Linked DNA regions of Mus musculus: region 1 is reported to be linked to region 2. Evidence: microRNA targets listed by miRTarBase, many of them from high-throughput screens and not tested one by one. Region 2 holds a microRNA gene; the other region holds the end of a gene's coding sequence.

What was found. The annotated mature microRNA mmu-miR-149-5p reads UCUGGCUCCGUGUCUUCACUCCC and lies in region 2 at 2,739-2,761, shown strand. An mRNA with a match to its seed (bases 2 to 7 or 8) in the 3' UTR can be bound and repressed. Matches are read on the target gene's strand: a 7mer-m8 pairs with bases 2 to 8, a 7mer-A1 pairs with bases 2 to 7 and ends in A, and an 8mer does both.
Region 1: the mRNA of Gpr17 is a reported target of mmu-miR-149-5p. Seed matches in the 3' UTR shown: 7mer-m8 at 721-727.

The regions. Positions count from the first base shown.
Region 1 is chr18:31,943,492-31,947,630 of GRCm38, reverse strand. Gpr17 (G protein-coupled receptor 17) reads left to right here. Exons shown (of 2, transcript NM_001025381.2): 2 at 1-4,139. The coding sequence ends at 642. Lims2 (LIM and senescent cell antigen like domains 2) reads right to left here. Exons shown (of 10, transcript NM_144862.4): 3 at 3,426-3,492; 4 at 3,075-3,195. Among named protein-coding and RNA genes, the nearest start is that of Gpr17, 4.1 kb to the left of the region's middle.
Region 2 is chr1:92,847,643-92,851,926 of GRCm38, forward strand. Mir149 (microRNA 149) reads left to right here and starts at 2,736; the gene lies at 2,736-2,801. All of the region lies in intron 1 of Gpc1 (glypican 1), which reads left to right. Gm29480 (predicted gene 29480) reads right to left here and starts at 1,155. Exons shown (of 4, transcript NR_166170.1): 1 at 1,059-1,155.

The sequences.
Region 1 (4,139 bases), not on the chromosome of region 2:
GCTGACCGGTTCCTGGCCATTGTGCACCCTGTCAAGTCCCTCAAGCTTCGAAGACCTCTCTATGCTCACCTGGCCTGCGCCTTCCTGTGGATCGTGGTGGCTGTGGCTATGGCCCCACTGCTAGTCAGCCCACAGACAGTGCAGACCAACCACACAGTTGTCTGCCTGCAACTGTACCGGGAGAAGGCCTCCCATCACGCCCTGGCATCCCTGGCTGTGGCTTTTACCTTCCCATTCATCACCACGGTCACCTGCTACCTGCTGATCATTCGCAGCCTGCGCCAGGGTCCCCGGATAGAGAAGCACCTCAAGAATAAAGCCGTCCGCATGATTGCTATGGTTCTGGCCATCTTCCTGATTTGTTTTGTGCCCTACCACATCCACCGTTCAGTCTATGTGCTTCACTACCGTGGTGGTGGGACTTCGTGCGCTGCTCAGCGTGCCCTGGCCCTGGGGAACCGGATCACCTCCTGCCTCACCAGCCTCAACGGGGCCCTGGATCCTGTCATGTACTTCTTTGTGGCTGAGAAGTTCCGCCACGCCTTGTGCAACTTGCTCTGCAGCAAACGGCTCACAGGTCCACCTCCCAGCTTCGAAGGGAAAACCAACGAGAGCTCCCTGAGTGCCCGATCCGAGCTGTGAGCCTCTGGGAGGTCCTACACCAGGCCAGCTGTAGACTGGTGCAGGAAGACCAGCTATCAACTGGGGCACATGCTACCAGAGCCAGCTAAAGAAGTCTATCTTCCTTCACTATTCCTGAGCAAACAAACGGAAACATCGGGAGTTCTCACCCTGCTTCAAGGCCTCAACTGCAAGGCCATCCAGTCTCAGCGAATCCATCAAGAGGCAGGACTAACCACAGGGATGCCCTGCCCACCCCTCCACAGGACTGGGTTGGCCTGGCTTCTGTACAGCTCCCAGACACTCAGTGACTTCACTCGTGCTAAATAGGGAAGAGAGCCACAGGGACATTTCTGGAACAATGGGAATCTTTCTTCTCTAATAAATTTCTAGCTTCTTTCATACTACAGATGCCCACAGAAACAAAGCCCTACAGAATAACCCAGAAAGCAAGCTGCCCAAGGTCCGGGAGAAGAGGCAGCACAAATGTCAATGGAACTAGATGGATATTTAATATTTCCTTTGAAGTGTATGGTATATCGAATATTGCTTAAGATGCCTTTGCCTCATAATCTCTGCCTGAGTTTAGGGGACACAGACTCTAGTGATAGCTACATGTGAGTATAATTCAGACTGGTTGCTTGTGAACCCAGCGAATATAGTTCTGGGCTCAGCTCCTCCTGTTGACAGAGGGGGCAAAGACCCAGACAGGAAGGTTAGTCTCGTGAGAAGCTGGAGGGTCTCTGGAAGTCAGCACGCCATGTCCCCACACCAGCCTCAAGCCTGGCACTGTTCAGAGCTTGTCATTAGAATGTGGCCTAGTCAGGCATATGGCATGGACGGACAGACATTAGAGCCCAGGCAGAGAGCCTGATGCGAGAACTTGTCTCCAACTGCGCCCAGAAGGGACATCCTGAGCCCCACTCCCTCCCAAGAGGCTTCTGCCACCCTGGCTGCCTGGCTCTGAGCTGTTGAATGTGCCAGCATGTGGTGACCGCTCTAATGTACTTGATAGCAATACTCTTAAACATAACTGAGTCTTAAGATGAAGGAAATTATCATGCTGGTCCAACATGACACATGATGTTCTCCCCCTGAAATCCTCGTCCTTTCCACCCAAGAATGACCAAGTAGGGCAACATCTTCCTGGTTGTGGTTCTGGTGGCCTTGTGACATGTCTGTCCAGGCATGTGCGTTAAGGGAGCTCTCAAACGGATCCCTCCAGCTGCATCCTGCCTTTCACCAGAGAAACCCTAAGATGGCCCTGATGCTCAGCACTGCTTCTATCTGGTGCTGATCTGTCCACCCCCATGGCCACAACAACCTGCGGAGTACAAGACTGTGCCAGCCAGGACCAGCACGGGACCATGTGTCTCTTCGACAGAAGAGCAAAGGGACAAGAGTACCGCAGTCTGTGACAGGAGGGACAGAGGGGGCAAAGACCCAGACAGGAAGGACAGTCTCCTGGGAAACTGGAGGGTCTCTGGAAATTAGCACTGCCTTTCCTGACACAGGGGTTCAGAAGCAGACTTGGGTCAGAGGAGGAGAAATTTGCAGCTCGATTTGGGACCTGTTACATTAGAATCTTAAACAGAGATGCCACACTGGTAGGAGACTTGAGCAAAGGAGAGATCTGGAGGGGATACCTGGATTGTCCAGATGTATCATTGAGAGGCCCAAGACTTCATCCTCAAAGGCTGACATGGATATGGGGCCCAAAGAACATCTCTGTGCCAAGGAAGAAGCTGAGGGAAGCTAGCACAACACAGAAATCTCACTGAAAGAGGAGGGCTCTGCTGTGAGGGCACTCGGAGGTCAAGGGGAGGACCTGGTGATACCCAGGCTTGACCTGAGTCGTTGAGAAGCTGTGCTGGGGAGGGCTTCGGGGCACAAAGGCGTTGCTGGGTGCTCCCCCCAAAGCTTTCCCACCCAGGAGGGAGATAAGCTCACGGCTGCTGGGGAGGTATAGAGCCCACAGTGAGGGAGGCAGGGGTAAGAAGAAAGAGTAAGGCCTTCTGGAAGGGGAACTGGCAGAGTACCAGTGAGGCTTACAGTCCTGAATTTGGAGTAAATTGGGCAACCTGGTCCAGCCATGTGAATGCTGGGAGGAAGGCAGACAGATGGGGTCAGCGTGGTGCAGCAGTGGTGGGTGGGATGTCATGAGTAATTGGGATTCGCCAACTTAAAACTCCTCATCTATTCATTGCCACTTAAAGCCCTTCAAGCCTTCTGTCCCCCAAAGACCACCCTATGCCCAGAGGGAGCTGTCTGTCCTTACTCTCCTGCCTCCACCCTTATCCATCCCCTGGGGGCTGTGTTCTCCATCTAGCAGGGGTAGGACAAAGCCCACAACCAGATCAGTTGAGATGCCACAGAGCCTACTGGGCAGGACCACAGCTCTTAGAGTAGGGACAAGGGGTCCTCCTCTCTGCCCATGACTGCAGCTGGCTCACCTGCCTGCGTTCTTCACAAAGCCCAGGTCAGCCAGCTCCACATCACACAATTCACAGCGGAAGCAGCCAGGATGCCAGTTGGCGTTCATGGCCTTGATCACGCGGCCAATGACAAATTCACCTGCAAGAGGAGAGACCTCAGCTGTCAGGGCGCACACCCCACCCTTCAGCTCCCACGGTCTTTGTAACCAGTGTTCTTCCGGGTCCACCCTTGTCCAAGTACCCCTCTTTTAGGGGCCTGAAGACAATGCTCAGGAAGCCAGGAAAAGTCCCCAGGCTAAGGAACTTCAGTACTGGCTGTTACCCCACTTGTCCCCGTCCTGCTTGCTAAGTGCTGTCACCAGCTCTTACCACAGAATCCGCAGCATGGAGCAAATAGCATTTGGAAGTCATGTTCACAGTACTTCCGGCCCTCAAACTGCAAATGGGGGCCACAGAAGAAAAGATACATGAGTCATTCAACTTCTCTGTAAGTCTTGGCCCCCCAATAAATAGCAGGGGTCTGAGGTCCTGAGAAGGGGGGCTTCCAAAGCTGTAGTGGGGGTCTAGCCCATGTGACTTAGCAGAGTGCAAAGTGGGGGGTTCACAGAGATACTGAGGGTCCGAGACAGCTTTTGGGGATTCTGCTGTCTGCTGAGGGAGAGGGGACCTGTGGATCCTGACAACAGGCCACGCAGAGGTGGGAGCCGGGGCTGGGAAAGGATGGGTCAAATCTTGAGTTATCTGACTGGCTTTGTCCTCTGTGTCTGACCAGCTCAGTCCCTCCAGAGACTACAAAAGACCCAAAGAGGGAAGACGGAAGACAGAATTCCTCAGGGAGGGGAATTGGGAGTGACAGCAGCGCTTCAGTCAGCCACCATCTGAAGCTTGCTTTTCCCTCCCTTAAAGATTTGCTTTCTTAAGCAAAGTCTGGGCGGTAGCTCAGTTTGTAGAGTGCTTGCCTACCATTCACAGAAGTCCTGGTTGGGTTCACAGAACTGTGTGAATAGGGTACAGCAGTGCACATCTGTAACCTCAGCACCGGAGGATGGAGGCAGGATGCGCCGGAAGTTCGTCATCTTTGAT
Region 2 (4,284 bases):
ACCCCCCCCCCCACCTCTGGGCTGGGGCTAGCCCAGAGGCAGAGATTTGATCCACAAGTCCTTTGAAATGCCAGCACGGTGGGGGGGGGGGGGGGTCCGCAGCTGCCTACTGTTTCCAGGGACACGGGGGGTGGGGGGGGGCGGTGCTGAATGTGCCAGTGAAGGTTGCGGGAGGAGGTGCGTCCCAGGAAGCTGCCTTCAGCCTTGTGCATCAGTGAGACTGCCACTGCCCTGCTGCCCTAGGTTGTGGGATCCACCACACCACGCCGAGACCCCTAGCCTCATCTTGGCCTTTCCTGCTGAGTTCTGCTGCTCTGCAATTGCCAGACCACTTCACTGGCGCTGGAATCGCCCTTGCTATCCGGAGTGCATCCACAGCTGGGGACACTATTGGAGCGGCCATGGAGAAGGGGGTTCTAAGGCCAGGAGGGTGTCCGCTAAGCTACCAGGCTACGTCTGCTAGGCACCATCTCTATCACCATTCCTGTCTGCATCCCCCCTCCTCCATGCATTCACCTCTCATCTTCAGTTCCATTCTCTCGCAGCTGTACCCCCACTACAGCCTATCTCTGTCTCATCCCCTTCCCATCAAGAGCTTGGTCATCAGCCCTGATGTCCACTCATGTCTCTCAGCTCCCACCTCCATCCCATCCCCATCTCCCTAAAGTTGTGCTGCACCATCCTAGATATTCCTCTCTACCCCATCCCTCCCCCTGCACCCCTCAGGCTGCCGCAGCCCCCTTTCCGCAGTAAGTCCCCCTTCCTCTACTGAACCCATCCCCCCTTTCACCCCGCCCCCGCCGCCACAGCCATGGCGCTCGCTTTTCTCCCTCCTTTTTCTGCCGCCGCGCCCACTGCGGCAAGCCCCTTCCCCGCCAATCACATCGCCCTCTCTCCTCTCCCTCCATCTCCCGCTTTCCGCAGCCCCCCTCCAAATGCCCCCCTCTGCCTGCCGCAGCACTCAGCTCTCCGCACCAGCCGCGCCCACTGCACCAGCGCCCCCTCCTCACTGCGGCGCCAGAGCAGGCGCCTGCATCTGCAGCTCCGGCTTATCTTACCGGCTCCAGCTGTACAGAACCATCCCCGTTGCAGAGGAGGCAGCGGTCGGTCGGAGCTGCAGGTGTCGCCCAGGCTTTGTTCGCCCAGGGCCTGGCCTGATGCTGGAGAGGCAGCTGGCAGGAGCCCTTGCCTGCCCGGAGATGACCCCTCCCATCGAGTCCATAGAAGTGCCAGCAGCCGATGCCCCCCAGTTAGGGGGTCCCTGTTCGTGATGGAGGTTCTTCTTGGTGATGTTGCCATTTGGGTGAACCGGAGGCAGGGGCTCGGGAATCATGAAGGCATCCAGGAGGGTGGAAAAGTATTGGGAGTGAGGTGGGGGCGGGGAGGGGATTGTGCTTGATGCTTTTCCAATTTCAGAGATGGAGTTGAAATGTCTTCCTTCGGGTGTGACCCCCGGGGACTAGACAGGTTTGTTGGGGAACAGGAGCAAGCAATGGGAAAATGCCCCTGGAGCCTGGGCAGTGAGTAGTCCCCCAGAAAGCTGGGCCATTTGCTCCAGGCTGTCACGTCCTGGAGACTCTCAGCCTCTGGGGCTGGAAAACCCAGGAGCACAGAGGGCTGGTTTACTTCTAACCTACCAGTCAACAGAAAGGCCTGCTCTAGGAGCCAGCAGCTGGGGAGGGGAGTGTAGCCTGTGCCTCTCCCTTATCTGCGGTGCTGAGAGATTATACTCCGAATGCCCCTACACTCCCCCAAGCCGTGCCAGCTGGAGTGTTTTAGGGGCCGTGAGGGAAGTGGGCTTTCCACTCTGCATCTCCCCCGTGAGCACAGGAAGCTTCTAGAAGAATGGACCAGAGGCGGGGTAGCATGACTCTGCATTATCTTCAGAAGGTGGAGGGTTTCAAGGCATTGGGTCCCTGAAGTGTCAGGGGAGGTCAGGTCAGAGATGTCTGTGGGTAGCATCAGGATGCTGGACTCTGCTAAAGTCCTGGGGTGACTGTGGATGATGACCAAGAGGGATGCTGCCTCTGTGAGGGAGGAGCAGGAGCTGGAGCTGTCAGCAGGTGGCAGGAGGGTGTGACCCTGAAAGGTAGGAAGCCACAAGCTGCTGTCTGCTCTGGAGAATAGTGGGGGGCCGGGGGTGGGGTGCAAGCAGCCAGATTTGGGAGGAGGTAAATGAGCAGTTGCTGCCCATGGGTTTGCTGCAATGGGGTGCCATGCTAAGTGTCACAAGAAGCAGGGGTCTTGGAATTTGAGAGGCTTTGGGGTTGGGGACAAGGCTTAGAAAAGGGACTAAAGTGGGGAAAACCTGCCATTAACAAACAACCCCCTTCCCCAAATAAAACCTGTGAGTGCCAGGGGAGGGTAGTGCCCCCCAAAAACCCAGGAGGGAAAGATCTGGAAAAATGAAACCAACTCTGAGAGAGATGGGCGGGGTCAGTGGGGAACAATACTGCCGCTCCACTCCCACCCACCTTCAGGGCTGGCAAGGAGGAAGCTGCTGGTAGGGTAGAACGGAGAGACGTTCCTACGATGGGTATGTACTCCAGTGCTTTCCTGGAAGTGTAGAGAGCTTTGCAGAGCCTGCCTTAGCTGTTCTGATGTTGAGCACCTATGGTTCCAGTTGGGCTGGGTCTCAGCTCCTCTATCTTTGACCCTCAGCAAGCAGGTCTGCCAATGCATGGGCTTCTGGGCAGCCTGACCCAGCCTGCCCGGGGCCCTCAGGCCAGTGCCCAGGCTCTGGCTCCGTGTCTTCACTCCCGTGTTTGTCCGAGGAGGGAGGGAGGGACGGGGGCGGTGCTGGGGCAACTGGAACAGCGCAGGTCACCGGGCTGGCTGGGTGAGGTGGCCAGGCAGAGCCAGGGGGCTGCAGGGGAGGCCATTGGATGGGGTATGCTCATAGTAGCTGGCCAAAAGTCTCATGGGTCCCATTTATCCAGAACCTGCCGTGGAGTGGGGCGAGTTTCTGTTTCTGAGTGTGTGTCCTTAATTAACTTCTTCCTGTTTCAGCTTCGTTCTTCTGTCTATGTGGTGAGGGGTGGCAATTGGGACCACTAAGATGGAGAAGGATGTCAGAGGAGCAGAAACCATGGGAGGGGCCAGTAAGGCTGTGCCCACCTCTCTCTTGCCAGTGCTCTGTTGTGCAGCCTGGTCCTCAATATTTCCACCTAAAACCTTTGGCCTACACACACAGAGTGCCTCTGTCCCAGCTGAGCCCAGGATGGCCCCATCCTGATACCTGCAGCCTCCATCCCCATAGCTGTTTCCCCACTCACTGCTGAAGTCAGAGATGGGTCATCCTCTACAGTGCCCCCCATGATTCCTCCTCTAACAGAAAAACCCTTAAACCCCACCACTCAAAGAGAGAGATGTGGCATATCACCTCAGCCCAGCAGACCATGGCCCGGAGCAGAGCAAATAGAAGGCCCTGCTGGGCCCTGTACCTTGTTGTGCCTGTAGCCTGCTTGCGGGTGGATAATCTCTGCTTAGCCCTCCCTACTCTAGAAGGAAGGGAATCAATCAATGGATGCAGATCAAGTGGCAGGACCTAGGCTTGCAGCTCCCAGCTGTCTGGGCACCAACCCAGCCCTTTCTTGAGGTTGGGTGCTTAATAACATGTTGCTTCCCAGGACCTGCAGTCCCTGTGAAAGGCAGGTGCCCTGGGCAGGAGGAAGCAGTGTGGTAGGAGCAGAGGGTACCAGGTAGGGGAGTGGTGGGAGGGGCATTCCGTGTGCACCTCCCATCTCTGACTCCCTTTTCTCTTGACTCCCCCAAGCACCCTTGAATCAGAATACAATTCCTTCTGTTCTTCTACCAGCTGTCAGCCACTGCCCTGCTCTGTGGACCTTTGGGGACCCTGAAACCAGGTGGGACTCAGCCTGTGAGGCCAAAAGTCCCCAGGGTTCTGGGATGAAGCACAGCTCCCATGCCTTAGTAAGCAGGAGAAGGGCTAGGCCAGGCCCTCAACCTGAGACCTGGAAGAGCAGATCTGAAGGTTGCCCTACCTAGGGATGGAGGGGTGGCATCTGGGGATATATACCTTCCATGTCAGGTCAAAATCACAGAGGCTGTACACAGTTCCACTCTGCAATATGCACACACACACACACACACACACACACACACACACACACACCATCCAGCACACATAAATGCTTGTGCTTACTAAGTGCTAAAGACAAGGATGTGATCATGTAACAAGCTCTTAAGGGTGAATGCAACCTCAGAATCTCTCCTTAGTCAGAGATCTCCACTCCCAGTTGGCTTCAGGGGAGGGGGGTTCAT